4 linked regions of the Tamandua tetradactyla genome follow. The protein of the gene in region 4 interacts with the protein of the main gene of each other region in a pairwise test. Links are inferred from orthologs where the notes say so. Each region holds a gene or a part of one and is shown on either strand. Other genes may lie near its edges.

Region 1 (7,202 bases), on a different chromosome or scaffold from region 4:
CATCTCTACAGCAACCCTGGCAAAGACTGGAGGACTTGAGCATAAGCTGTATGACAGCCCTTTTCAATAGGAAGGAAGCAGCCCAGAGAAGCTGAAGGGTTAAGAAACTGCTGTCCACACCTCCTCTCCAGCCCTCTAACCCTAAATGCATATACATGTGAAAATGTTGCACAGGTTGTCTTTAATTCCAAGGAGACAAAGACTCTCACTCAGCTGTCACAGAGAGGCACATGAATGGTATGCAGGACCTCACTGGCCAGCCTGTGGGTAGCCTCGCCTATTCCAGTATGAACGGAGCCAACTTAAGCCCTCTACTGTGTCTCCTGAGGAGAGAAAGAGGCAGTGGCATTTCAACCAAGAAAAAAGTCTCTGTCCAGTTAAGTCCCTGCAGTGCTCCCTTCCCCAGGGCCAAGCCTAGAGCCTTACCCATCTTTCACCTCACCCCTCACCTTGAGGCCGGTACTCGCAACCCACAAACCCTTTGTAGCCTTCGTCTTCCAGCAGCTGTAATAGGTAGGGGAAGTTCAGCTCTCCAGGGCTTCCAGGTTCCCCCCGACCTGGGACCTGTGCTATCTGCACATGCCCTAGGGACAGATATAGACAGATGTGGGGCCCAGGCCTGAGGAAGAGATGTAGGATTGAAAGGGTGGGAGGGCACAGGAAACATAGCAGATTAGGAAAGAGCAAAGAAAGGGACCCCTCACCAACAATGGGGAGGAACTTCTGGATGTTTCCTGTCAGGTTCCCATCCATGATCTGCCAGTGGAATATGTCCTAGGGAAGAAAATACTTCAGAGACCCTGCAGGCCCCTGCTAGTCATTTTTCCATGCTCCCCAGATTTGGAGAACATGGGCTCTCTGAGAAACACTTGCATTCTTCCACTTACCATTTGTAACTGGAGGTTAGGTCTTCCAACTTTCTTTAAGATGGCAGCCGCTGGGAGAAAAAGTCAGGAAGGAAGCCATGAGACTCAAAAATACAGGAATCAACAGGGACAGGAGGAGGCATAGGGCTGAGAGTCCTACCCTGCTGGGGTGTATCCAGGAAGTACTGGGGATCAGTGATGCGGGTGTTAATGGGCTCCAGCAGTCCCACGAGGTTCTCCTAGTGCCACAATGTATGCTGTGAATGAAGTTCCTCCCCACATTTGTCCCTTCACTCCCTGTCCACAGCCTTGTGCTGCCTCACTTGCTCTCCCCACTGCACTTCCCTCAGCATACACCCAGACACATTTAAGTACGTGTGCCAAAATGTGTTTCATGTCTTACCTGAGCCAAAACCCCAGCAGCGTGCCTCAGGTTCTCCAGAAAAACATTCTCCATCTCACCCCTAACAACTTCTCGGTCGGCCCCCTGGGGTATACGGCCAGCCATCAGGTGAATGCTGTGGGGAAGATGGAACTGGAGGAGTCTGGTAAGTCCATCCTAGAAGCAGAGGCCTTCATGCCTTTGGTTCCCTATGTGCACTTCCTCCAGGATGCCGTGACTATGCCAGGTCTTCAGTTCACAACACCACCTGGACCATGATGCTCAGGCAGCCAAGAAACCTTCTTAGGGTCAACCTATTTTCCTGGGCTCTAAATCCCATTCCCTCCTGACAGTCCTCAGTCCATCATTTAATCCTTCTTGTGCTTGCTTTCCTTTGGCCCCTTCTCAGCCTAAAGGTATGCTTAATTCTCAACTTTTAAAATTTACTTCGACCCTTACCCTTCTCAAAGCATTCCATGTTGCCTGTCTCTACTTCCTCTCCTTTTTTTTTTTTTTTGTATGCTGTATGGTGGGGTCACATTTCATTCTTTTTCCATATGAATATCCTGTTATTGCAGCACCATTTGTTGAATTTTTGTTTGTGTTTTTGTTTTTTTTGTTTTGTTTTTTTGGAAGCGCCTGGGCTAGGAATTGAACCTGGGTCTCCTACGTGGCAGGTGAGAATTCAACCACTGAACTACCCTTGTACCACCTCCTTACATCTTTTTCCACCCCTTCCCATCTGTGTTTTGCCCCCACCACTTACCAGTAATGAATCTTGTTGCCAGTTCCTTCTTGGCTGATTTGACCTTTCCAGGAGTTGACCTTTGTTTGATCAGACCCACTCTGAACCTTCCACCTCCTCCCTGATATCACCATCTGGTCTTTCTCAGCCACAACCAAACTTCGGACATTCCCTTCCCTCCCCACACCAACAAGCTCCATCTCCGCCTCATGAACCCCGCTAAACACACTTGAAGCCTGCTGAACATACCAACTCTCCTCTCGGCTCTGACCAATGGTCTTCCCCTCTTGCCCACGAAGTAACTCCTTCAAGTTCCAGTTCAAGCATCACTACCTGTAAGAAGCTCTGGCCCTGAGGGGTTATGTGCCAACTCTGCTCCCATGGTCTCTTGAACTGACCCCTATCATAGAATGGGTTACTCAGTATATTTTACTTCTCTATCTCCTTAGTCAGCTCCTAACATAGGATCCCAGCAGGAAATGAGCAGAGAATGACACACAACATAAAGAAAATGCAAACGGTAAATTAAAAAGGACCAGGATTGGCTAGGGTGGGCAGAGCTGGTGCAGTCAGCTGAGCCTTCCAGACCTGGGTTATGGGTCAGAGGTAGGGAAGAGTCAGCCAAAAGGGGGCATAAAGGGGATAGGAAAGGGTAGGATACCTGGGACAGCTCAAAGCCTTGGCATACAGCACAGCCTGCTCCAGTCCCTCTCGGAAGGCCGCCTGCCTCCCAGGAACGGCGCCCAGCCCCATTTCCCCCTTCTCGCGGTCTCCTGTGGAGAGAACGAGCTTCAGCCCCCAGCTTGGACGCCCGGTCCTACCCCGTGGTCCGACCCAGTCCCGGCCCGGCCGGCGCACCTTGGGGCGTGTTGATGAGCACCAGCCGCAGTCCTGCGTCCTGAGCCGAGCGTGCCAGCGTCTCTGGCGCCTCCGTGTAAGGCCAGGCGATCTCGGCGGCCTCGAAGCCCGAGCTGCCCGCGGCCTGGAGTCGCGCGGGGAGGCTGGAGAGCTCGGGGAACAACCACGACAGATTCGCCGAGAAGCGCAGCGGAGCCATGGCCAGGCTGTGACGACAGGCCTGGGGTCAGATCCCTTGGCCGACCGGAAGGCGGAAGGCGGAAGGCAGACGAGGTGCACAGAGGCAGGGAGCGCTTGGAAGGCCGGCCCCAGCTGAAACTGGCTGCAGTTCTTGCGGGGAAACTGCGGGCGGGGAGCCCTGCCGAGAGGTCGCTTGGAGCTCTGGGGCCTTGATCAGTCGGAGAGCCTCAGAAGGGACGTGGGCGAGATCGCGCTGGCGCCGCCAGTCGTCTGGACGCAGGGAGAGAGGCTCGGGCCGGTAGGAGCCCGGCCGAGAGCTTGCTTTGGCTGCTTTCAGAGTAAACGTTTATTATTTTTGGTTAGGAAAGTAATGTGTTGGAAAAAACCTTGGCCAGTTCAGAAAAGTACATATTTTATTTCGAGATAAGATCATGGGAAGGGGGCCGAGGAACGGAAGGATGCGAGGGAGAGCAGTTTGGCCCGTTCTTCGGTGGGATGGGCAGACCCGGAAGGAGAAGAGGGGCCTGGGGGTGCGGAGGCGGCCGAGCAGCGTGGTGCGCCTCCTTGACAACGGGAGTGGGGACGCAGGGGTATGGGGAGGGGGGAGGGGGCCGGGGGATCTGACCCAGTCCCGCGGGCCCAAAATTAATGGCTGTAGACTTAACAAATAATACTTAGTATTTACCTCAATTATAAAAATATCTCATTATGGAATATCTGAAAGCTGTATGACTGAATAAAGAAGAATATTAAAACCACCAGTTATCGTACCACTAATCTGTTATCTTACTCTTACATATTAAAGAAGTAAACGTAGTTTTGGGGGTTAATTTGTTTGTATAAAAATTCTGACAACACTGTATATAGGGTATATCCCTGTTACACTTATTTTGTGAGTTCGTCTCGGTATTCCTGAATATTCTTGAAAGTCATCGCATTAACTGCTTATTGTTCCACCCCACAGGTAGCCCGTAGTTTATCATGCTATTCTGTTGATTGAAATTACGGTTTTTTTCAACATACAGCAAAAGGGCACTTTTTTTCACCCCTTATTCCCCGTTTCTCAATCTTTTTCTTAGGTCCCTTTTCTAAAGATGTACCTTCCATTGCCTGCCCGCGGAAAGTCCCTTATTAGAAACATTGGCCACCCACCACCATTGGTCTCTGCACAGGGTTATCTGCTCACAGCCACGGCTGATTGGACCATGGAGGACACCTGATCCAACGGCAGCCAATCCATAAGGGGACCAAAGACCCGTGCATTGCTTGGTTTGGAAAGGTGACCTGATGTTCTACTTTTGCAAGCTGTCGAATGAGATATACCAGAAACAGAACAGCAATTAAAAAGAGGAATTTGTTAAGTTGCTAGTTTACAATTCTAAGGCTGAAAATGTCCATATTAAGGAAAGACTATGGAAATGTACAATCTAAGGCATCCAAGAGAAATACCTTGCTTCAAGAATGCCGAGGATGTTTGGGGTTTCTTTCTCAACTGGAAAGGCACAGAGCGAATGTGGAGAGGTCTGCTAGCATTCTCTCCAAGCTTCTTGTTTCATGAAACACCTCTGGGGGCGTTTTCCTTCTTCATCTCCAAAGGACTCTGGTTGCCAGAGCTCTCTCCAAAATGTTTCCTTTTTTAAAGGATTCCAGTAAACGAATCAAGACCCACCTGGAATGGGTGGAGTCCTTTCTCCATATAATCAAAGGTTAAAACCCACAGTTGGGTAAGCCACATCTCTGTTGAGATAATCTAATTAAGTTTCCAACCTACTGTACTAAATAGGAATTAAAAGAACCGGCTGCCTCCACGAGATGGATCAGGATTAAAACGTGGCTTTTCTAGGGCACATAACCCTTTCAAACCCACACATCCGGCCAATCAGATTCCCTCTCTGGAGAGTTCAAACAAGGAAACACTGAAACAGTCAAATAAGAGGTGGGAAGAGACACCTGGAAGAATTGCTGGAAGATGATTGGGACTGATCCGATAGGCCATGTGCAAACAAGTTACCAGGGACTAGAAACTATAAAGAAGCAGTGATTAGATAATAAAAGAGAGCTAGGGCAGAGAGGATGGTTTCCTAGTCAAATAAGTAGAGGTGGCACATTGAGAAATTCCTATTGTTGAGTTCCCAGGGCTGTCAAAACCCACAGCCACTCCCAGATATTTGCTCTTCCTGAGGCTGAGATGTTTAGGTTTTCCTGGATTCCTGGGTCTGTGTAGTCTTAACATTTCTTGAGACATCTTGAATGCATTTACTTGCATCTACAATAACCCTACTGATTGGATAGATTCCTAGAAGTGAAATTACGTGTCAAAACTTAACATTTAAGTTCTAGATGACTAGGCTAAATTGCTTCTCAAACATGTAACAGTTTATATTCCAATAATACATAAGTAGAAATCACCTTGATCTATGTTCTCTGTTAGCTTTGACAGAGGGAATCTCAAAATGCAGCTCTTGTTTGTTCTGTCACGTCTCCTTTCCATTCCCAGATATAGAGGCCCAGGCTAAACCCATAACTCATCAAAGTACTTGCCTGTTTACATTCCTTTAATTCTTTCTCCAAGAGCAGACTGCAACCATCAATAGTTACCTGAATTGGAAGACTCAAACATAGTTAAGATGTCAATTATACCTACATTGATATACAGATTCAATGCAATAATAATTAAAGTCCCAAAAGCTTACTTTTCAGGAATAGAAAAAACAAAAACCTAATATATCTGGAAGGGCAGGGTGCCCCGAGTAGGTAAAAAATATCCTGAAAAAGAAAAATGAGGTCAGAGGTCTCATGCTACCTGAACTTAAGGCGTATTACAAAGCTACAATGGTCAAAACAGCATGGTACTGGCATAAAGATAGAAACACTGATCAATGGAATCGAATAGAGTGTCCAGATATAGACCCTCTCATCTATGGACAATTGATCTTTGATAAGGCAGTGAAGCCAACTCACCTGAGACAGACAGAATAGTCTCTTCAATAAATGGTGCCTAGAGAACTGGATACCCATATGCAAAAGAATGAAAGAGGATCCATATCTCACACCCTATACAAAAATTAACTCAAAATGTATCAAATACCTAAACGTTAGATCTAAGACCATAAAACTGTTAGAAGAAAATGTAGGGAAATATCTTATCAATCTTATAATAGGAAGTGGTTTCCTAGACCTTACACCCAAAGCACAAGCATTAAAGGCAGGTTGGTAAGTAGGTAGGGAGGGAGGAAGGAAGGGAGGGAGGGAGGGAGGGAGGGAGGGAGGGAGGAAGGGAGGGAAGAAAAGAAGAAAGAGAAAGGAAGGAAGGAAGAAAGAAAAAGAAAAAAAGAAAGAAAGAAAGAAAAGAAAGAGAAAGGAACTCCTCAAAATTAAACACTTTTGTGCATCAAAGGACTTCATCAAGAAAGTAATAAAACAGCCTACACAATGGGAGACAATATTTGGAAACGATAGATCAGATAAAGGTCTAGTATCCAGAATATATAAAGAGATTGATCAACTCAATGACAAAAAGACAGACAACCCAATTACAAAATGGGCAAGAGACATGAACAGACATTTCTCAGAAGAGGAAATACAAATGGTCAAAAGGCACATGAAAAGATGCTCAACTTCCCTGGCTATTAGGGAAATGCAAATCAAAACCACAAATTAGATATCATCTCACACCCACCAGAATGGCCATTATCAATAAAACAGAAAACAACAAGTGCTGGAGAGGATGTGGAGAAAGAGACACACTTATCCACTGTTGGTGGGAATGTCAAATGGCACAACCACTGTGGAAGGCAGTTTGGCAGTTCTTCAGGAAGCTAAGTATAGAATTTCCATATGACCCGGCAATACCATTGCTAGGTATCTACTCAGAGGACATGAGGGCAAGGACACAAATGGACATTTGCACACCAATGTTTATAGTAGCATTGTTTACAATTGCCAAGAGATGGAAACAGCCCAAATGTCCATCAACAAACGAGTGGCTAAACAAGCTATGGTATATACATATGATGAAATATTATGCAGCTGTAAGACAGAATAAAGTTATGAAGTATGTAACAACATGGATGGACCTTAACGATACTATGCTGAGTGAGATTAGCCAGAAACAAAAGGACAAATACTGTATTTAGAATTGGATAGCACAATACTACCTAACTGTACTACA
Region 2 (7,959 bases), on a different chromosome or scaffold from region 4:
TGTGTATTGCCTAGTACAGCATTTAAATTGCACTAGGTGGTCATCAAATAGTAGTTACTATTATTGCCGTTGTTATTGTTACTAAGTAACTTTTCCATAGTTATCCCACTAATTAGTGCTAGATTCAGGACCCTGGATTCACACCAAGTCTACCTCTTTGCTACTATACTTGACTTTTTTGGTGATGGGTCTTCAAAGTGAAATAGTTACACAAGTAAAATCCTAAAGAAATATCGTCTTTGCCATTGATAGCAGTCTCCTTAACAACATCCTCATTAACAGCTTGGTCATTATTAATCTGTCTCTCTTATGATTATAATTAAAAAGAGATGTTACCATTAAATCCAAGAAATTCTTTATGAAGCCTTTTAAATTCATCTTACTTGAAGTCTTCTGGGTGGATGCCTTTTAATAATACTTGTTTCTCCCTGTTCCCGGAGAAGGTCAAAATACATGGCCCTCGGCACTTGAAGGATTGGGAGAGAAATAAGAACAAACAATTTACTATTAAATTAGGCTGATCATTACTTATTTGAGTGTTAATACAATTACGGGTCTTTTCAGTTATATATGCCTAACCTATAGTCTGAATGTGGAGATGAAATACAAAGCAGGGACCCAATATGAATGCAAGCAATGAACTATTAGCCAGGACACAAGATTTAATCTCTGTCTCTCTCATTTTCTCCCTGGGTTGCTATTTAGAGGGAAAGCTGCAAAATTAACAATGTATTGACTACAAATGCTTTTCAAACATAGAATTTGGCCTGGAAAATACAAACATTGATTTTCATTAATCAATAATATTTCCATGAAATCTCCCGTAAAGTATAGGAAATCAGAAAAAAATAGTTTTAATATATGAAAATAAAATTCTCTTTTCCAGTGCAAAAATATATGATAAGTAAGATAGATGGATGGATGAATAGATAGATAGATACAGATAATTAGATGATAATGAAATGGAGCGTGACTGTGTAATAGGAGTGTGTGCAATGCTTAGCTTTGCATGTTTCAGATGAAACAGAGTCCCCAACTAGGGAAAGAAATTCCCACAAGTTGCTATTGTAATACAAAATATCAATGTTCTTACCTGGGGTAAAAGCCAGGGCTACAGATTAAGCCTCTGTTAGGAAACACTGAGGTCAACAGATCCACTGCGAATTTTATTTTTTATCTTGATTCTCCTAGGCCCTTGGGACTGCTAATGTGACCAATGCCACATGAATGAAGGTCTTGCCCTTTCTTTTTAACAATCAGGAGGGACTGTGAATTCTAGGTTGCTGTACAGAACATCTTTCAGTTCCGCTTTGCATTTTAAATGGAGAATCCTTGGTAATTGTGTGTCTCTATCCTCAAGACATTGGTGACCACTTTAAAGACTCTTCCTTCTCTCTAAATTTTAGTAGAATAAGAACAATGTTCTTATTTTCTTTCAATAGCTGCAGCCCTCAGTATGGAGAAAAACAAAGCACTTACTGGATTTCAAAATATAAATCTTTTGGTCAAATATTTTTAAGAAGGCTGACTACTTATTTTTATACTGTGGTTTGAACGATAGCGCTCCATTATTTAATTTAGTTTTTCTAAGATGCCAAGGGCTGTGTCAGGCTGTTATTGTTATCCCTGATTTTTAAGTGAAAAAAATTAAATAACTTTCCCAAGGCCATGTGATTTGGTATTTGGTGGATGGAACTGGGCTTAGAACGTGAGCCCCTTGGAAATAGTGATCAGAACTCTGGCCATCCCCTTCATATTTGTTTCTGAATACAGTTTTGCCATTTCAAAAAGAAACACATTTTCTAGTTGGGACGCTCAAGTACTAGGACCATTTTTTACCATTCAGGTACCAAAATCTTAAAACTCTGGGTAATTATCAGTTCTACAGAAAGCATCCATGAAAATCATTCTAGGTAAGCTCTGCTAGGTGCTAAAAGAGAATACAAGGCTCTTTGGCCAAGTCCTCCGATGAGGGGAACTTATTTCTGTTATTGGTTCAGAATGTGAAGAAAAGAGAAAATGAATTTGGTTGGAGTGTCTGCTTAATTATCATGTTGGTTGCCATAAAACATGCCTTACGTGCTTTATAAAATATCCAGGAGTAATTTATGTCACTTCAGTCTCAAAGCTTCCAATCACAGTGGGAAAAACTTCACAGTGCTCTTTCATCGCATGAAAGATTTGGGTTGGGGAAAGGCTGATCCTCCACTCATCTGTACTGCAATAAATCAATTCTGTTTGGGATGGTTTCCCAATTTGCATTAGAATAGATTCACTCCTACCGTGTTGCCTTCAAAATGAAAAAGCCTGATGGGTTAAACTGTACCTGAGACAATGATCTAAATTTAGAATCTAGCTGAAACATATGATTGCCATCTTTTACACATCAATATCAATGTAATTTTAATGTCCTGGCAAAGTCCTCTCTAAACAGTGGAACTATAAACTAAGTGGAAAAGATGAGTCTTTTCTTCTCATGTGCGATGATGAAAAAAGCTCTTTACACATAGTTTACATACCCATTCTAATGTACCCAGAACAATACTTGCAACTGGTAAACATTTGGTCCCCATGAAAAGATGTTCCCCTACATTTCAATAATTTAGAAACTTTCTGAGACTGTGGAAATAGACAAGTCAAGTGAATCTACCCATAGTTCTTGACCCTAATGCGTGCTGCAGTTGACACTCACCTGCAGAATATCTTCCATACCACGTCTCTCGTAGAGGAGGCAGCTGCCCTGCCAGAGCTTTATTCTGGTCCTGAAGCCTTGCCAAGGAAAATAAACTCTTTTCTTCCAGATTCTGACGGGATGCAAAGTCCACAGGGCTGGCTGGAGAAGCCTCTCCCTCCTTGTTTTCTAAAGGTGCGACTTTTGTCACCCTAGGGTGAGCCTTAGAGTGGTTCAAGCCCATTTCACATTCAAAGGAGAACTCAAGAGGAAGTGTTTACTGGCTTTCAATGGAGCTCGTTTTCAGAAGCTTTCCTTTCAGTTTTTCCTAGATTTACGAAACAGTCATTTCTTCATATCTTTCTACCACTATTCACCAGGCAGTAACCCCACTGGCTACTTCCTGGGAGGCTGGTTTCCATGGATACATTCCTTCAACTCCTACTTGGCCATTCCACACCAGTTAAACCAGAAGAATCCAGTTATACATTGACTTGGTTATGCTACTTTCCAAAAGACTCAGCGGTAGGAAATGGAAACCACTATTAATCATTAAACAAATCTCTAACACCAGGAAGGTCATTACCAGAGATGCAGAGCAGAAATCTCAGACTTGATCATTTCATTGTGCATACCTGGAATTACCATTTGTGAGATCCACTAATCAAAAGTAGCTAAGTCACCCTTGGAAATAAGAAGATGCATGCTAATTACCGAGGGCTTTGTCATCTTTAATTTTAATTAAAAAAATGCATCTTTGAAATATGAAAAAATGAAGCAAAGAACTTAAAGATTCAATCATTCTATTTCTCTGTCGATAACATTGTCTTTGAAGGGGATAGGTACACTGTAGGAAAGCAGAAAGAAAATAGGAGGATTTTTCTCTCTCTGGGGTAAGGGGCAAATTTCTTGAATTACCTGCAGAATATCTTTGTATAAATCTTGAGCTTTCAAAAAATAGACTATTTACTAAAAAAAACAAAAAATGAAACAACAACAAAAAAAAAAACAGAAAAAGACAGGAAGGGAAGGAAATATGTTAAAATATTTGGTGGGATTATGGGTGATTTTTATTTTATTCTTTATGTTTAGAACTCATTTTCAAGTTCTAATTGTTCACAACCATAGATTACCTGTTTTTCATAATCCCCTTAGAGAAGGTCAAAGAAATTTAGTTTTCAATTTTGCAGAGTCCATTTGCTAAGTGCATAATACAATCTTTGGAAAATCTTGATAGCCAATATAGTTCCTGTACAAAGATATCTTAGTTTAATTTTTCCCCTGACTTATTCCCTTTGAATTATATACACAATTTTCTTTGTGGCAGAGTGACTTGGAAGAAATAATTATATATTAATAGTATCTGCAAACAAAATTACCTTTGGTAACTAGAGACTATTTAATTATAAAGATTGAAGTACTCAGATAATATCAAGTCAGATTTATTTTGGGATATAATTACTTTAAGTATTTCTGAGAGCAGAGGAATGTACTGCAAAATAGCAGATGAACTGGAAATTATACTGAAAACAGTGGACTTTATGGATATCACCCAGTGGGAAAGATTCAGCTTTCATTTTTTTTTTTTTTTTCCATGGTTTGTGAGAGCAAAAGAAAAATGGAAACAATTTTAATATCCATCAACATGCAATTAGATGAAAATATAAACATATACAAATGAAATAGCATACAATAATTAAAAAGGAGCTATCTACATTATACACAAGTCTCAAAAATGTAAATTATGAAGTTATAACAAATTAAAAAGAGCAATATACGTACACTATTTATGTAAATTATAAGCACACATTGTTTCTTTCCACATAAATAATCAAAGCATCAAATCTACCTAACATGGATACTCCCCATCAAAATACAGTGATTATCTCTGGGGGAAGAATGAAGCTAGGGAAATAATTGAGGGAACTTTTGTGACTATCAGTGTAGCTTTGCTTTCTTTCTCTGAAAAAGAAAATCAGAAAATAACGTGTATTTTTCTTTTTTAACATTTTGCTTCTGATTTTTTCAAATTACTTAGAATATTTCATTATTCTCCACACTTTGCAGAGTGGTAAAAATGAGAGAAAAATGATGTATATAAATTGACAGTGTTTTAGATATATAAGAATCTGTTTTCTTATCACAATTCTATAACTTTCTAACTGATTTTTTTTCCTCTTTTGACTATATCTCACTCTTATTATTGACAAGCTATTTTTATTCCTTTTGAAAATCTTATTTGTACCAACCTAATGTGCTGAATTCACATGCAGTCATACAAAATATTGTCATTATAAGGAAAAAGATGAGATCACAAGTAGGTGATCTAAAGGCAGGCAGAAAGTTGCATCAATTACTTTTTTTCACAATAAAGTATATAGTAGCTGACATACTCTAGTTGCTCAATCTCTGTGTGTGTGTGTGTGTGTGTGTGTATGTCTGTGTTTAACAGAATAGAATGGAAACCTTTTCTAGTAGATTGAGGAGACTGTATAGCACTGGAAAAGCCCCAGATAAATTAGGTAAATGACGCTGAGGCTGAAGTAGACACAGGTGACTGATTGACAAATATTCCCAAAAACTTTCTGCCAAAGTGAAGTCAGAATTCTGGAGCCCAGTGAGCAGTCAGACAGGTCACACAATGGGGTTTTAGAAGGGCAGGGAGGATAAAACAGGGAGAATTAGGATTGAGAGCATGTGGTTGAAGCAACAGAGTGGTTAGGAGTTCAGCAAGTAGTGAATAGCTACCACATTCATATTATGAAGGGGCAGGCAGCTGGAGCCCTATAATATATACCAGTTATCCAAGTGGGGAGACCCCAGCCTCCACTGTAGAATCTCATCACACTTTCAAAGCCTTGGAAAATGGCCAGTGCAGGATTTCAGCTCTTCACAAGTAATGGATGTTACCCCGGTATTACAGGTAGCCATAAACTAGGTAGGCTTAGGTGATTTGACTCAGTAGAAATGATGTGATCAATGATAAAATAAGACCCTACAATAATGAGTGATTACTGAATTACTCAATACTTTAGAGAAGAGTCATATATCACAAACTCAGTTCTAAAGAGCATAGGACATGAATCTGACTTTAAAAGATCCATAGGCAATATAAAGTTACCTTAAAGTTTGAGAAGCACAATGCAAGGGATCTGTAATTGGTTCCCTTGCATTTTTGGCAAAGGTGTGTTTACTCTTTTTTTTTTTTTTTAATTAACGGAAAAAAAGAAATTAACCCAAAATTTAGAGATCATACCATTCTACACATGCAATCATTAATTCTTAACATCATCACATAGATGCATGATCATCATTTCTTAGTACATTTGCATTGGTTTAGAAGAACTAGCAACATAACCGAAAAAGATATAGAATGTTAATATAGAGAAAAAAATAAAAGTAATAATAGTAAAATCAAAACAAAACAAAACAAAAACCTATAGCTCAGATGCAGCTTCATTCAGTGTTTTAACATGATTACTTTACAATTAGGTATTATTGTGCTGTCCATTTTTGAGTTTTTGTATCTAGTCCTGTTGCACAGTCTGTATCCCTTCAGCTTCAATTACCCATTGTCTTACCCTGTTTCTAACTCCTGCTGAACTCTGTTACCAATGACATATTTCAAGTTTATTCTCGAATGTCCGTTCACATCAGTGGGACCATACAGTATTTGTCCTTTAGTTTTTGGCTGGATTCACTCAGCATAATATTCTCTAGGTTCATCCATGTTATTACATGGTTCATAAGTTTATCTTGTCTTAAAGCTGCATAATATTCCATTGTATGTATATACCACAGTTTGTTTAGCCACTCTTCTGTTGATGGAGATTTTGGCTGTTTCCATCTCTTTGCAATTGTAAATAATGCTGCTATAAACATTGGTGTGCAAATGTCCGTTTGTGTCTTTGCCCTTAAGTCCTTTGAGTAGATACCTAGCAATGGTATTGCTGGGTCGTATGGCAATTCTATATTCAGCTTTTTGAGGAACTGCCAAACTGCCTTCCACAGTGGTTGCACCCTTTGACATTCCCACCAACAGTGGATAAGTGTGCCTCTTTCTCCGCATCCTCTCCAGCACTTGTCATTTTCTGTTTTGTTGATAATGGCCATTCTGGTGGGTGTGAGATGATATCTCATTGTGGTTTTGATTTGCATTTCTCTAATGGCCAGGGACATTGAGCATCTCTTCATGTGCCTCTTGGCCATCCGTATTTCCTCTTCTGAGAGGTGTCTGTTCAAGTCTTTTTCCCATTTTGTAATTGGGTTGGCTGTCTTTTTGTTGTTGAGTTGAACAATCTCTTTATAAATTCTGGATACTAGACCTTTATCTGATATATCATTTCCAAATATTGTCTCCCATTGTGAAGGCTGTCTTTCTACTTTCTTGATGAAGTTCTTTGATGCACAAAAGTGTTTAATTTTGAGGAGTTCCCATTTATTTATTTCCTTCTTCAGTGCTCTTGCTTTAGGTTTAAGGTCCATAAAACCGCCTCCAGTTGTAAGATCCATAAGATATCTCCCAACATTTTCCTCTAACTGTTTTATGGTCTTAGACCTAATGTTTAGATCTTTGATCCATTTTGAGTTAACTTTTGTATAGGGTGTGAGAGATGGGTCTTCTTTCATTCTTTTGCATATGGATATCCAGTTCTCTAGGCACCATTTATTGAAGAGACTGTTCTGTCCCAGGTGAGTTGGCTTGACTGCCTTATCAAAGATCAAATGTCCATAGATGAGAGGGTCTATATCTGAGCACTCTATTCGATTCCATTGGTCGATATATCTATCTTTATGCCAATACCATGCTGTTTTGACCACTGTGGCTTCATAATATGCCTTAAAGTCAGGCAGCGCGAGACCTCCAACTTCGTTTTTTTTCCTCAAGATGTTTTTAGCAATTCGGGGCACCCTGCCCTTCCAGATAAATTTGCTTATTGGTTTTTCTATTTCTGAAAAATAAGTTGTTGGGATTTTGATTGGTATTGCATTGAATCTGTAAATCAATTTAGGTAGGATTGACATCTTAACTATATTTAGTCTTCCAATCCATGAACACGGTATGCCCTTCCATCTATTTAGGTCTTCTGTGATTTCTTTTAGCAGTTTTTTGTAGTTTTCTTTATATAGGTTTTTTGTCTCTTTAGTTAAATTTATTCCTAGGTATTTTATTCTTTTAGTTGCAATTGTAAATGGGATTCGTTTCTTGATTTCCCCCTCAGCTTGTTCATTACTATTGTATAGAAATGCTACAGATTTTTGAATGTTGATCTTGTAACCTGCTACTT
Region 3 (7,415 bases), on a different chromosome or scaffold from region 4:
ATGCACTTCACCCACTGACACACGCCCAGTCACAAACAACCCAGCTCAGAATTAGCATCCCACGGGCACACCTTCCACCACCACACACCCTGAGGCCCTCGGGAGCCCCAGTTTTCTCCGGGAGGGTGAATCAAGTGTGAATAGGGGCACCTAAGGGAGGGGCAAGGCCCAGGGAGCGGCTGGACTCGCCACGGGTCAGGGCTCGGCTGTTTATCAGGTGGGGTGCAGGGAGAAGCAGGCTGTCAGGAGCTAGGAAGGTGGCGCCTGGTGTACCCAGCAGGGAAGGGGGGAAGGGCAGCCCAAACGCCGGCCTCAACTCTCTTCTCAGGGGACCTCTCCTGAGCTGGGCGAGGCTGGACCAGAGGACGCTGTCTCCCGCATCCTTCCCAGTGCCATGCACACACCTGCACACACGTGGGGCAGAGCTGCTCCGTGTCCATCAAGGTCAGGCTGGAACCCCCAACAGGCAGCTGACCCAGCAATTTCTCCCTTTCTCCCATATGCCACAATCACCCGGGGAGCTTTTAAAACCCTCAGGCCACACCCCAGAACAATGAAATCAGCCTGTCTCCAGTTGGGCCCAGGTATCAGCATTTCTAAAGCTTCCCAGGTGCAGTCAATGTTGAAACCTGTGCACTAGGACAGCGCTATACAAAGGGGCGAGTTCAAGGACCAGTCTCTGAAGCATCACCTGGAGCTTGTTAAAAATGCTGAATCTCAGGGCCCCACACAGACTCAGAATCAGAACTTGCATTTTAAACAGGCACTTGGGGGATTTGTGTGCTTATAAAAGAGAAGGATCTGGGGTTCAGACTGGACCCCACATAGTTGAACTGATTTATTTTAGCAAGGAGGATGGAGGGGCAATGTCCTGCCCAAGGCACCCCAAGTTTTTCTGAGACATGGGGTGGTCTGGGTGGGGCCAGCTAAGGGGCACTGACAAAGGGTGGGGGGAGGCTTGTGGCCCTGGAGCAGAGGAGAGTTGCCCTCCCCATCCCACCTCCCTGTAAGCAGTGGGGGTAGGGGCCACTGGTCCTTATCAGGCCCCAGAAGTGGTCAGAGCTAGGCAGCAGCTCAGGGAAGGCTTCCTAAACACGCCCCCAGACCCCCTAGGGAGCCAGCTCCTGCCCTGTCCCCACCCCCCTACCCTTTAGGAGAATCCTGAGCCTGGCTCCCCGACAGGAACCACTGTGGCTGGGGCAGAAAAGGGGGCAGTTATCAGACCACCCCAGCCCCTCCTCAGAGCCCAGCCTGGGCATGCCATCGCCCTCCTCCTGACTGGGCACACCCCCAAGGCTGGGGTCCCAACCTGGGGATCCCCAGAGCCTCCCCTGAGCCTGGCGCCATTGGCCAAACAAACCCAGGGACGCAGCCGACATGTCAGCTCCAGGAATGTGCTCAGGCACTTGGGGGTTCCCGGCCCCCTCCCCCATTTCACAGACAAGGAGATGGAAGCTCAGAGCCCTCCAGAGCACCCCCCATCCCACATCGCCCTCAGAGGAGAGGACCCAGGGATGGGGCCGCATGGGATTCCCGGGAAGAGCCCGCATGGGTCTGCGGCCACCAACTCTGCAGCGAGCCCACAGGTGCCACAAGCGCTCAGGGCCCTGCACCCCCCCGCGCTGGCCAGCCCTTTCGCCGCGGACCCAGCTCCAGTTCCAGGAGAGAGCAGAGGAGGGAGAAGGAGAGGGAGAGAGGGAGAGGGGAAACCCAGGCTCCCCGCCCTCGCAGGGATCCGCTGTACACACATGCACACACCACCATGCACACACTCACAGAGACACAACTCTCCCAGAAACCCACAACACACTCTCACAGGCACTCCCAACCCCCGTCCCCAAAGCCACACACACACACACACACACACACACACACACACACACACACACACGGGACCCTCACTGGGGCACGCACACCTGCACCCCCACGCTGTCAAGGCAAGGTGTGGAGGGAGGGGGCTGAAGCCCCTCCACCTCCGAGCCCCTCTGCAGGGAGAAGTCTTCCACCCCCATGCCATCCACCCACAAGAACCCTCCCTCTCAGGGCAGGGGGTGGGTGGGAAGGTGGGGCAAGCTCCTCAGAGGGGTGCAGTGTGGGTCCCTGAGCGGATGGCGGGGTGCGGGTGGGTGAAGGGATGAGTCTGGGGTCCATGAAGTGAACTAGACCGGGTGGGAGACAGGGAACGGTGAAGGGAGTGGGGGGGTGGAATGGGGGAGAAGTCCAGAGGAGCCCAGGGCAGTGGGGGTGCTTCGAATCCTCTGGAAAGGAGAGGGGGAGGCAGGAGGTGAGGAGGGGGCTTCATTTTCAAAGAGGGGCTGGAGGAAAAGGGTCTCTCATCTGGGAATAGGAACACAGGGCTTCGGGGTGGAGAGGAAGGAAGAAGAGAGGCTGGGGCGGGAGGTTGCTGGGGGTGGGGGTGGGGGCTTACAAAAGTAGCAACTTGGATGGGAATGAAGGAGAAGGAGGGGCTGGCAGCTGTCAGGGGCTCCGGGTCGGGAAGGGACAGGGGTATAGGGTGGGGGGCAGGGCTAGGGAAAGAATGGGCGCTTGGCTAGACAAAAGTAAGGGGACGGCGGCCCGGTCCAGGGGCCCCGGAGGTCCTGACACAGGGACAGCGAGAAGTCGAGGGGGGTCCGGGGAAGGGAGCGGCCCGGGACGTGGAGGGGCTGGGGGCTCGCGTTCCGGGAGACGGCGGGAGCGGGTGAAGAAGGTCCTGCTCCGGGCGACCGAGGGCGATGGGCCGGGGGTCCCCTGCTCAGAGAGAAGGGGCCTGGGGGTCCCGCCGGGACGGGGCAGGGCCGCCGTGAGGCTCCCGCCGGGGGTCCCTGGCGGCGCGTACTCACGTCCAGGATGACGGCGGTGCCCCCGCGCGGCGAGGCGGGGCCGGGGCCGGGGTCCGCGACCGGGACGACGGGGGCCAGCGGCGTCCGGGGCTCGCCCATCCTGGCGCCCACCCAGCGCAGCAGCCCGCCCAGCGCCCGGCCCTGCGGCGGCGGCTCCCGGAGCAGCCTGTGCGCGCCGGCCCTGCACAGGCGCGCCGCCCGCTCGCACATCGCGCCGCGCCCGCCGCCGCCGCCGCCGCCGCCCGGAAGCCCGCCGACCCCCGCCCGGCCGCGGCCCGCCCCCGCGCGACCCCCTCCCCGGCGCCGCCAGCCCGCCCGCCCGCGCGCCCCGCCCTCCCTCCCTCGGCCCCCACGGCCGCGGACACCGCGGGGACGGGCCGGCGCCAGCGAGGGGGGGACGGGAGGGGGGACGGGAGGGGGTGCCCCGCCCGGACCCCAGCCACGTGCCCGTGTCCACCGCCCCACCCCCAACCAGGGCGCGGGGCCTGGAGGCTGGACCCCGGCTGGACTGCGCGGGGTTGGTGGGGATCTGGGCGCTGGGGGAGGGACGTACCGCCGGGCTACACCCCTCGACAGTCTGTCCCCCCCACCCCCGCCACCTGGAGGTAACTACCCCCTCCCACCCACCACCCATCCACCGCCGCCCCCGCCCGGTGGCGCCGCCGCCGCCGCGGGTGTCCGGCGAGCCCCGAGCGCCCTCTGCCGGCGCCGGCTGCGGGGATCGGCGCCCACGCGCCCCAGGCTCCCGCATCACTCCAGCGGGCACCCACCCTTGCCCTCCCGGATCTTCTCAGGTCCCCCCGTCCAATTACACAACGCCCCAGAACCAGTCTCCACGCCAGAATACCCTCTTTACCGCACACTCTGTCTATCTGTCCATCCATCCATCTCAAGGTATAGTTAAGGAGCGCCTACTAGGTGCCAGGGCCCGTGCCCAGCCATCTCATGCTGGACAGAACAGGCAGGGCGTTGGCTTCCTGGAGCTTATATCCAATGGGGTGGAGGCAGTCACTGGAATGGGCAATTAAAACTGCTATGAAGTGGGGGGAGGGGGACTGAGGGCCATGGGGGAGGGGGAGACGGGTTGCCTTGCTGTGTGAGGGGCTTGTCAGCAGAGGCTTCCTGGAGGAAGTGGTCCTTATCCGGAGAGATTCAAAGGAAGAGAAGAAATTAAAGAGAGATGAGAAAAGCCTGTGCAAAGGCCCTGTGGCAAGCTCCAGCATGGGCTGAATGGAGACAGTGTTGCTACAATGGAGTGGGGGCAGGGAAAAGGTTGGTGCGGTGGGCAGGGTCTGTGAACCACGCCCCCCACACAGCAGACCACTCCTGTCCTAGTTCTCCTCCTGCTTCTCTAACACAGCTGCCCTTGTACCTGCTCTTTTGTGGTCCCCCAGCCCATGGCCCTCACCCAGGGAATCACCCACACAGCCCGGTGCTTCCTTCCAGCTCCCAGTGCTGGGCCCCAGGGCCCTGGACCCCACCCCAAACAGAGTCCTCAGACACGAGTGGAGGCAGGCGCTGGTTTTATTTGGGACCTGGAAGGAGCAGGGCCTGGAATCCTCCCGGCTGGGTGACAGCTGGCCCTGGGGAGCTGGACAAGGCTGTCGGAGCCCAGCTGATGCCGGCAGCTTTCACCCCAAATCGTGGGTCTGGGCCTGCCCCGGCCTGTGCCCACCGTTGCATCTTGGGCCTTGGCGGGAGTCTGGGACAGCCTGGGATCGCCACTCCTGCTTGCCGAGGCGTCTTCTGCTCCCCAGGGCGTCTTCGGAGGAGCCCTGCGCCCGGCAGGGCTGGGGTCATCTCCCCTCCTCTTCAGGGCCTAGGTGCGAGGGTGCAAGGGCCCCGCACTAGGGTGGCTTCCGGGTCTCCTTTCTCTGCAGGGAGCTGGCCACGGCCAGGGCCCCGCCCTGCACGAAGCGCACAAAGTTGTCCCCGGCCAGCGGCCCCATGGCGTACAGGCCCTCCTGGCGGCTGCTCTGGTAGGTGAAGGGGTCCACGTCCACGGGGTTGCGCTTGGCGCTCAGCGGCTGGTCGGGGTCCACAGCGAGGTCGGCGCCGCCCCCGGGGAGGAAGGAGAGGTCTGGGTGGGAGCCGATCAGGACCAGCACCAGCGAGACCTCGAAGACCTTCTGGTGGCCGGCGGGGTCGCGGAACACGGCCTGGCGGTCCTCCTTGCAGAGCAGCAGCTGGTGCTGGGGGAGGCTGAGGTAGCCCCCGTAGGGGCTGGGGGACAGGATGGACTGCTCCCGCATCATCTGGTGCACCTTGTGGTACTCAGGGTACAGCATCTTGGGCAGCTGGTTGAACACCAGGCCAGGGTCGTCCACAGGCCGGCGGAAGGCGTGGATCACGGGGACGCCGTAGTGGCGGGCGTAGAGGATGGCGTCGGCCGCCGACAGCCCGGCGCCCACGATGAGGACGGGGTCCGAGGCCGGGGTCACCGCGCCCGCCCGCGTGGCCGCCTCCAGGGCCGCCAGCTCGTGGTGGACGAAAGGCAGGCCCTCCCCGGGGATGTCCAGCCGGGCGGGGCTGTCGGATGTGCCTGTGGCCAGGACCACGTTGCGGGCGCACAGGGAGAAGGGCTGCCGGCTCTGCTCCTTGGTGGCCAGGAAGCCGCTCACCTGGAAGAGGGGGCTGGGGTCCTGGGCCCCGGAGCTGCCGGGCTGGGGCGCCCCCCACCGCACTGCCGTGACCACGGCGCCCGACACGAAGCTCCGGCCCAGACCCTTTTTGGTCACGTAGTCCCTGTAGTAATGGGCGATGTCCCCGGCTGTGGCCCGGCTGTTGCGCAGACCCCTGCGGGAAAGGACGCAGGAGGGGAGGGGGTGTCAGGGAGCCTCCTGGGGCGTGGCAGGGGATAGGTGGTGCAGGGACAGGGGCAGGACCTGCAGCTCAGACAGCAGCTGCACCACGCGCCAGCTGCAGGCCTTGCCCAGAGGTTCAGCTGCCCAGAGTCTCAGGCTCCTTTTCGGTAAAATGGAGCCATTGCGGGCCCTGACCCCGACCCCAAGAGGCCGGAGGTGCAGGGTGGGCTTGAGAGGGCCAGCGGACTCCAGAAGCAGACTGCCCGGGTTCAAATCCCGGCTTTGCCCTGGTGGGCTTTGTGCCTCAGTTTCCCCACATGTGCAATGAGGATGATGGTGGCAGTGCGTTCTTCATGAGGGTGCTGGGAAGACTACATATAAAGTGCTGAGAATGGAATGTGGTGGGAGCCAGTGACACATAGGTCTTGCCAGTGTTGTTACCTCAAAAGGGTTAACTAGCAGTCTGGGTAAATAGGGGATGAGTCTGTTTTTATCAAGGGCAGAACCAGGGAAAGCTGATCTATGGAGGTGGACGTCATTAGTGGTTTCCTCTGGGGAGAAGGAATGGGCTGGCAGATGGGAAGGGGAAGGGAGGGGCGTTGGGGTCTGGGTGGCTTTCTCCATCCACCTGTACACAGGTGAGCTGTGTACTTTTCTAGACGTGGGCTGTGCTTCAATTCAAATAACCAGTTTATTTTTAAGATACTCCATGTAAAGCACTTAGCAATGTGCCCAGCCTGCATCATAAGAATGGTGGCAGTTTATGATTATTGTTGTTATAATATTGCCACTCTTTCTGAGGGCAATGGCTGCAGGGTCCCATGCAGCCAGTGGTTGAGTTCGAGGCTTTGGGACAATCCCAGCTCCTCCTTCCACCCAGCACCAAGACATAGGGCAAGTTACTTTCCCCAGTGTGTGGAGCAACAGCTAAGGATGAGCTCACTGCATGTGGAATAACATGCAACATGCAACACAACATCTGGGAAATGCCACAGTGTAGGGTAAACTCAGGCCAGGTCCACTGTGGCCAACCCACCTCGGTCACTCTGCTACTGGAACCTGAACTCTGCAAATGAACTTATTTCTCTGGATAACTATCCTAAGAAGGTGTTACCCATGGGGTTATTTATGGTAACCACAAATTGGGAAGAACCTAAAAATTCCATAACCGGACAGCGCCAAGGGAGCATGCTTCTTGGCCCTGATGTCTGAGCACATGGCCCGGCATGCAGTGAGGTATTCAGTGGAGACAGGGTGCCCGTGCACCCTTGGGAGTCTTGTGTGGCCGTGTCAACAGACAGTTGCAATCATTGCCCAGTCACCAGTGAAATGCTTAGGATGTGATGTTGAAGTTTAAAGGTAAGATATAAAAGGGCATGTGCGTCCATGAAGTTTAAGTTCCCGTCTGCCTGTTAGCACATCATCACACAAGCCTGGATGTTTTCCTATCAAAATGTTAGGGTCAGAGATTCCTTGTGTTCAGGAGACAGACAGTGAAGCCCTGCAGAGCTGGACACTGAGTTGCGAAAGAGGCCCTAGGGCCCTGTCACAGCCCCCAGGACAGAAAGGGCAGCCCTAATACAAGGAAACATGCCAGCATGGTGGCGACACCTGGGACAGCTTCTCATGAGGGCACATCCACCGCCCTCCACCGTGTCCCCCAGGGTGAGCAGGGGCTGGAATTCCTTTATGCAACAAGATGACTCTTTCTCCAGGGCCCACAGGTGGGCAGCATGGCCAGAGATGGAGTAGGAAACAAGATGGGGAG
Region 4 (7,211 bases):
TATAGAACAGATTTCATAGTTTCGTGTAGGTTACAGTTCCACAATTTATAAGCATTTTAAAAATATTTTTAAGAACACAAGCAATACACTTAGAACCACCGAAACTGGATATCTTAGTGTAACCATAGGTATATTCAAATAAAGTATTCAAATAACCATTGTAAAACCTGTGTTTGCACACCAAGTTTCATAAACCAATTTAAGATTAAGGGGACAAGGAAAAAATCTACAAATCCAGAGAGCAAAGTTCTTAAATTCTAAATATTAAACAGTAACTTAAATACCATTTGATCAGTTGTTAAAACTGTGAATGTTTTAAAAATATCAAGTAGAAAGTTATTACAAATATCTACATTGTAACAGTAATGACCTATGTTATTAAACATTTTCCTGATTTCAGGAAAATATGAAGATACAAATGTTTTTATAATTAACATATGAAACTTTAAACACCTAAAATGGATATCTTAGTTAGCTTATCCATATGCATATTTAAATAAAATATCTAAGTAATGATTGTAAAGTCTGTTTGTACGAGTCTTCATAAGCCAATTTAAAATTAAAGCAAGGAAGGAAAAATCTATAGATACAAATATCAGAGTTTCTTAGATTCCAAATATTAAACACTATCTTAAATACCATTTGATTAACTATCAAAATTGTGTACGTTCTCAAAATAATAAGTATATAGTTTTGAACAAAGATCTGTGATGTGATTGGTAAATGATTTTTTTAGTCATTCATTATATTTTCCTGCTTGAACATGATTTTCCAATGCTCAAAAACATGTTGATGTACTAGATTTTGTTTGCAAATAGATATAATTTTTCAAATATGTAGTGTCAATTCCCCAACTTTTATGACACTCTTCAATAGCATCAACTTTCTCAAGACAATGAATTTTGCATTTTGGGCCAAACAAACTTTTAATTTCAGTGCCTGGATTATAAAATGGTGGGCCTCTATGTTTAGGTGGACCGTTAGAAACCAAACATGAAATACTGGAACCCTTTTCTTGTTAGGGACATTATATTAACATCACATTCTCGATCACCTGGATTAACAGTGACTAAGGCTCTTCTATCCCAAATCGTGTCAAATTCACCAATTTGAATACTGATTCAAAAAAATCTTGAATCCCCAGTTCACTGATCTCCACACCAACTACGCTATGTCTCTGGTCTGCAAACCATCTAATTTCAACTGCTTTCCCATAAAGAGGGAAAAATATCCTTTGTCCACTCTTGCCATTAAGTAAAGTATCCAAACGCCTCTCTAATAGCTGATGTCCTTGTTCTTGATGAAATAAAATATTGCAGCTAACCCACTTTACTTGCCATTCTTCCAGAGTTAGTACTCAGTTTTTCAGCACCTCATTATTGGGGTAGTCATTAATTTTAAGTAAAGTTCTTGCATCATTCATATTTTTATAGACACCTTTGCCTCAAAAGCAGCTATCTTTAATCCTTTATAGTCACCTACATGTACTTTTACACAGATAATTTCTATTGATAAAGTTCAGATTAAACCAGTTTTATTTTGCATACCGTAAAAATCCTGAAAAAACAAGTTATGAATTGCGAATTTTCTTTCCCTACACTAACTAGTACATAAAAGGGTCCCCATGTCAAGCACCTACATTGTTTTCCTGGTAAATAATTGAGAAAACCTGGAAAAAAATATCTCCAAAGAGATAAAAGTTGGTTACAAAAAACATTTAGATCTAAAATATTCCCGGTGCCTGCCCATGTGAAAAAAAAAAAGACCTAAAATAAGGCAGCGAACAACTTGACATTCTCTTTATGACCACGTAAAACTACGTACCTTTAAAGTCCATGAAGCGAAAATCAGCAGCCTCCATTTTAAAATCTCTGGTTCAGGCCTAGGAAATAAAAAAAATATTTTAGTCTTTCCTTTATCATCTAGTTTCTCAATAAATTTCTTTACAATCAAATTTTTCCTGTTACTAGCTATTCAAAGGGAAAAACGGCTGAGGATATTTAAAAACCTAGAAAATGTAGTTAATGAGGGGCGGGGCAGGCTGGTGGGTGACTCAAAAGGGACCAGGAGGAGATTTTACCTCCCCCTAGAGGACTAGCGATTTTCTTCCCATAAAGCTGCCTAGTAAAGAGAGAAACAGGGCTCAGGGGTACCCTGTAATTGGTCTGGCTGGTTCTCATTGCCTCCTCCTAATTGGTTCAAAATCGCCGGCCCATTTACATCTTTACATTCAAACCATCCAATCACTCAGCGTTGTTTTTCCCGCTCTCAAAGACTCAGCGAGCGCCTTCAGCTCCCCACCCCCAACGCGCAGTCCAACGGAATCTAGCTTCAACGGAATCTAGCTTCAACGGGGTTTTAAGTCTGTCACATCCAAATTACGATAACTATTATTTCCCGCTTTCAGTGGCCCAGCACGGCTCCCCAAACTCTATCCTAAGGCAGAAAAAACACTAACTTTGCCCCTCTCCCTTCACCTAAAAGTCAGCCCTCAGAAGCTCAGTAGGCCAAAGTTATTGCCTCAGGGCCATTCTTTAAAAAGTGTTAGGATAGGGCGGGCCACGGTGGCTCAGCAGGCAGAGGGCTCGTTTCCCGTGCCTGCCCACGAAAAAAAAAAGTATTAGGATAGTGGCCACATCTTGCTGTTACAAACCACTCAACTAGCCTGTGCCTGAATCCTCCTCTAGCCCGTCCTCCCCACTAAAACACTCACCTCACCGAGGACCCGACAACGCCAAGTTGTCTTCTCTTCAGGCTCCTTCCACACCACAAGATGACGCTCACAAAGCTCCTCCCCTCGTAGTGACGCAATCAACTGCCTCGCCCAACAGGCGCTGCCCTGTATCACAGAATCTGTGCCTTGGGGCGCAGTCTAGACCTTAGGCCCTAGGGATGTAGTTCAGAAATCTAGGGTGAGAATCACTGAGAGCAAGCAAGTATGATGATATAAGAAATATACTGCAATCAATTGAGAGAAGAATGCAGAGGACAGGGATTACAGGAAAGATGAGAGCAGACCTTTGGACTGGGGGCAGGTGGGTGAAAAAGTATGTTTCCCTCTGATTATTGAAGAATGGCAAAGGTCAGAAATTGAGGAGACTGAAAAATCCTATAGTTCCAAGACATGTTTCTGTTGCCCTGCCCTGGCCAAATCTGAAGGAAACTACCTAATGCCCCCCATCTCCCACCCTTGCATGCTCACAGTAAGATCATATGTTCCGTCTATCTTCAGACAAATGGTTTTGGGGGTGAGGGTGGGATATATAGGTAAACATGTTTGATTCCAGCTAAACTTGTGGTAATGTTTGCAGACAAGAAATTGAACTGTTCTGAAACCTCCACCCAGAGACAGCAGATGCTGAATGTGTTAAGGCATGATTGCCTCCAGATTTGGAAAATAATCCACAATCAAAACATTAACAAGTCTCCTACTTCTTCCTTCACACACCCTCTTTGAAACCTTGTGCATCTCAGTCCAGATGTAGAAATGGCTGGCAGGATGAACAAGAGAAATTGTGGCTTCCATTCTGGGAACATGGATAGAGTTCCCTCCTGACCCTGAAAGTCTTGGAGTCAGTCCTTATATATCACAGAAAGTAATGAAGGGCTCTAAAAATAGTTTTTCCCCTATTCAAAATTTTCTCCATCTGGATCATATAGTACAGTGAAGAGAAACAGGAAAACTGAGAAAGTATTGCTATTAACTTCTCTTCTTTTGCATCCTCCAATTTAATATGTCCTCATTTCATAAGTGTAGATCACTAAATTAGGGAAAGAAGTCTGATGAAAGGGGCAGTAGATTATCCCATAGTTGACAGAATTCCCATACAACATATACTAGTGCCTTGATTTCCTCTTCTGTAAAATGGGAATAAAAGTAATTATTTCTAGCCTTCTGGTTCAATGAAATACTGTACATAAAGCATCTAGAACAGTGGCTAGCATATTGTAGGCACATGGCAAATGTCAGTTTCCATTATCATTCACCCTAACCTCGTTGGCATACTAAGGACTCCCAATTCCCATCATCCCACTCAGGCCTCTACTTCCAGCACCATGACTTATTTGTTCATGGATCAATAAGATGAACAAAAAAAGTGATAATGAGACCTCATCTCTCAAGTCTACAGTGGCCCTTTCACATAAATCGCAGACCTCTTAGTGATTAGTAATGCTCATAGTAGAGTGAAGATTATCTTATTAAAGATTATGTAAAGCATACAGGAATCACATGACTCTATTGAATAATGCTCATCACTAATATGACCCCAAAGTCAGGACTACAGAGCGGACACCAGTGCACTGAAACAATCAGTGAATCAAGGAAAATACATAGAAAGGGTGAAAGCCTTTACATTGAATGGGCATCTTCAATTTCTTGTTTTTGATCCAAATGACCTTCCTAGACATTAAAAGCCAAGTGAGGATTAAAAGAGAGAGAATAAACTAAAAAAGAGGGGCGGGAGAGTGAGCAAGGAAGTACTAGGGAGGAGACCGGAGGGGAAAGAAAAGAAGCAGGTGCATATTGAGGAGCATATACAAGGGTGAATAATAAAACACCACTAAGTGTCACTCAACATGCTGTGCATTATCTTCCCTACCCTAGCATCAACTATAAATGTTCTGCCCCTCCCTGTAAAAAATTGATACAGAAATGGTGAAATGTATATAGTGCATAAGGCAGGTGAACAACTTGGACTCTAATGAGATCCTATTAAGACTCTCATTAATACAGTGGATTAAAAGAAAGTAAGCAGCCAGGAATGCAAATTGGGTAATAAGGTGTATTACACTTTGTTAGAAGAAGAAAAACACCTTCAGAATAAACATGAAATTATAGAATAATCATCAGAAAATTCTAAAACAGAAGTATTAATGGAGTAAGGGAGAAGGGGCTTTTTCCATCAGATGTTAAAACTACACTAAAATGGAAAAGAATAGAGTCTAGAAACAGATATGTAAAACAAACACACACACACAGAAATGATTCAAATCGGGGGGGAAATGGATTATTCAAGAGCATTGAAAGGAATAACTGGATAGTAATTTGTAAAAAAAAAAAATAGATTCCTACTTTATTTCATACACCAAAATAAATTCTAGATTTATCAAAGATCAAAATGAAATCATAAAATTCCTTAAAGAAAATAAGAGCAAATATTTTATAAAGATGACAATGGCAATATCTGAACATGATCTGAAAACCAGAATCAAAAAAGGAAAAATGATGATGTTTTACTACATAAAGCTTTAAATCTTCTGCATGACTCTATAAACAGGGTTGAAAGACAAACCACAGCCCAGAAAAATTTTTTCAATATATATCACAGATAGTTAATATTTCTAACACAAAAATAGCTCTTAAGAAAAAAGACAAATACTCCAAGTAAATAAATGAGTAAAGAATACGCTCAACAATTCACACAGGAAGAGACAAATAACCAATAAACACATGAAAGATGTTTGACCTCATCTGTAATCATAGAATGCAAATTAAAGCAAGGTAAGTTTTTCATCTATCAGATTGGCAAAGATTAAAAAGATGAGCAAAAATCTCAAGTTGGCAAGATACACATAACAAACACTCTTGGACACTGCTGATAGAAGCATACATTATTGCAACTTTTCTGGAGGGAAGTTTGGCCATGTGTATCAAATTTTAAATGTGTTTATCTCATCACTCAAGAATTTCTCTTCTAGGAATTTTCCTAAAGAGGAAATTGGGAAAATGTGCTAAAACATATTAAGGAAACATTCACTGAATCATTGTAAACCACTTCAATGTTCACCAGTAGTGCACTAGTTACGCAACTTATGGTACGTTGGGGCCATACAATGGAATACTATACAGTCTTTAAAACATTATTGTGAAAATAACCTGTACTTATAAAACTGGGAAAACGCTTATATCATACTGTTGAGTTTAAAAAGGAAAAAAAATTACAGAGAAGGTATGTAATACGTATGCAAATCTTAGGCATACGTGAACAAAAATTGTCTGGAAAGATATTTAACAAAATGTTAAGAATGTTTGTTTTTGGATGGTGGGATTCTGAAGAACTTTTACTTTCTTCTTTATATTATCCAGTGTTTTTTAATTTTCTATAATAAACACATTTTTATCTTGAGGAAAGCTATTTTCATTTAAAAAAAAAACACAGGAAGATGAGGGAGTTTTTATCTGATGGGTATGTAATTTTCTCAACAAACTACGAGCAAAGTCAATAGAGAGTAGGAAGGAGAACTGTGGGGAGTGTGAAAGAGGTAAGAAATCGTTATTTCAGAGTGTTGAGCATCTAGTTGAGGTTAATGCCCAGTTTGCTGCCCAGTTAGTTAGCTTGCCCAGTTGTGTGATTTCCTCTGACATTCCTGAACTGCACAGGTGAAAGAATGAAGAAGATGTTTGGATTCCTCCAGAGGAACTCTGGAGTGCTACCTAGGGATTGAGGATATTTGCAAACGAGTGACGATAATGATAATAAATTCAGTAATTTATGTAGGAAAGGGAGCAAGTAAAGATTGGAGTAGAGTGAGGAAAAGAAAGAAAGTGTGTGGGAAGGAGGTCAGTGAATTGGATGATTATTGAGGCCACTTGAGGAAGTGAGCTGGGAAATCTAGGAGAGTTGTGGACAGAGAACTTGATGTTTAAATTATTGATTTCAGAGATGCACATTCTGGTGATGGCAAGATCTAGGGTATGATCATGTGAGTGGGTAATCGAGGTGGAATTCATTGAGTCAAACCACAGAACCACTCCCTCCCTTCTTCAATTTTATAACACTTATCTACACACTTCAGTTCAGGCCTTAGAATTAATCGCCTTCAAGAGTCTGACCCCAGACTAACTTTCCTGCCTTCTTTTTCCACTTCACTCCTTCAAATTCCTAGGCTCCAGGCAAAATGAATCACAAGCTTTCCCAACTTCTTGCTTTTGCATAAAATGTTCCCTCCCTCTGGAATGCCCTTCCCCATTTCTGAAATAACACATTTTACCTACCCTTTAACTTCTGCTTAAAAGCCTCAATATCCATGAAGCCTTTCCAGACCTCCCTTCTGTGAATTCTCATAGTACCCCATCCATACCTCTTAAGACAACAATCCAAAAGTTCTCCCCTCATTCCCTCCAGCTACTGCCCCCAAATGCTAGCCTATAGCTCCTGTATTCTTTTCCTCACCCTACAATCACTCAACCCACTACAATTGGCTTCCAC

Evidence for each region.
Region 1: the proteins of TEX11 (region 4) and HYI interact in binary tests that used the Homo sapiens proteins (3 or more experiments, as listed by UniProt). The two-hybrid records come from large-scale screens. The link is inferred for Tamandua tetradactyla from reciprocal best matches to the Homo sapiens genes TEX11 and HYI.
Region 2: the proteins of TEX11 (region 4) and CCDC198 interact in binary tests that used the Homo sapiens proteins (3 or more experiments, as listed by UniProt). The two-hybrid records come from large-scale screens. The link is inferred for Tamandua tetradactyla from reciprocal best matches to the Homo sapiens genes TEX11 and CCDC198.
Region 3: the proteins of TEX11 (region 4) and NECAB2 interact in binary tests that used the Homo sapiens proteins (3 or more experiments, as listed by UniProt). The two-hybrid records come from large-scale screens. The link is inferred for Tamandua tetradactyla from reciprocal best matches to the Homo sapiens genes TEX11 and NECAB2.

What each region holds. Positions count from the first base shown.
Region 1 is NC_135328.1:180,595,067-180,602,268, reverse strand, and holds HYI (putative hydroxypyruvate isomerase), read right to left. Parts: upstream 3,118-7,202; 5' UTR 3,051-3,117; coding exon 2,852-3,050; intron 2,767-2,851; coding exon 2,655-2,766; intron 1,385-2,654; coding exon 1,270-1,384; intron 1,106-1,269; coding exon 1,027-1,105; intron 938-1,026; coding exon 888-937; intron 775-887; coding exon 705-774; intron 585-704; coding exon 450-584; intron 324-449; coding exon 250-323; 3' UTR 165-249; downstream 1-164. UniProt on the Homo sapiens protein: Catalyzes the reversible isomerization between hydroxypyruvate and 2-hydroxy-3-oxopropanoate (also termed tartronate semialdehyde).
Region 2 is NC_135338.1:8,227,466-8,235,424, reverse strand, and holds the start of CCDC198 (factor associated with metabolism and energy), read right to left. Parts: upstream 3,137-7,959; 5' UTR 2,916-3,136; coding exon 2,693-2,915; intron 467-2,692; coding exon 384-466; intron 1-383. UniProt on the Homo sapiens protein: May be involved in tuning the metabolism, energy expenditure, and excretion processes.
Region 3 is NC_135342.1:78,661,975-78,669,389, reverse strand, and holds the start of NECAB2 (N-terminal EF-hand calcium-binding protein 2), read right to left. Parts: upstream 3,054-7,415; coding exon 2,844-3,053; intron 1-2,843. Other genes in the region: OSGIN1 (oxidative stress-induced growth inhibitor 1), read right to left, coding at 4,691-5,639. UniProt on the Homo sapiens protein: May act as a signaling scaffold protein that senses intracellular calcium.
Region 4 is NC_135353.1:100,742,927-100,750,137, reverse strand, and holds the start of TEX11 (testis-expressed protein 11), read right to left. Parts: upstream 3,139-7,211; 5' UTR 2,714-3,138; intron 2,148-2,713; exon of another isoform or gene 2,081-2,147; intron 1,883-2,080; 5' UTR 1,862-1,882; coding exon 1,825-1,861; intron 1,627-1,824; exon of another isoform or gene 1,605-1,626; intron 1,357-1,604; exon of another isoform or gene 779-1,356; intron 1-778. UniProt on the Homo sapiens protein: Regulator of crossing-over during meiosis. Involved in initiation and/or maintenance of chromosome synapsis and formation of crossovers.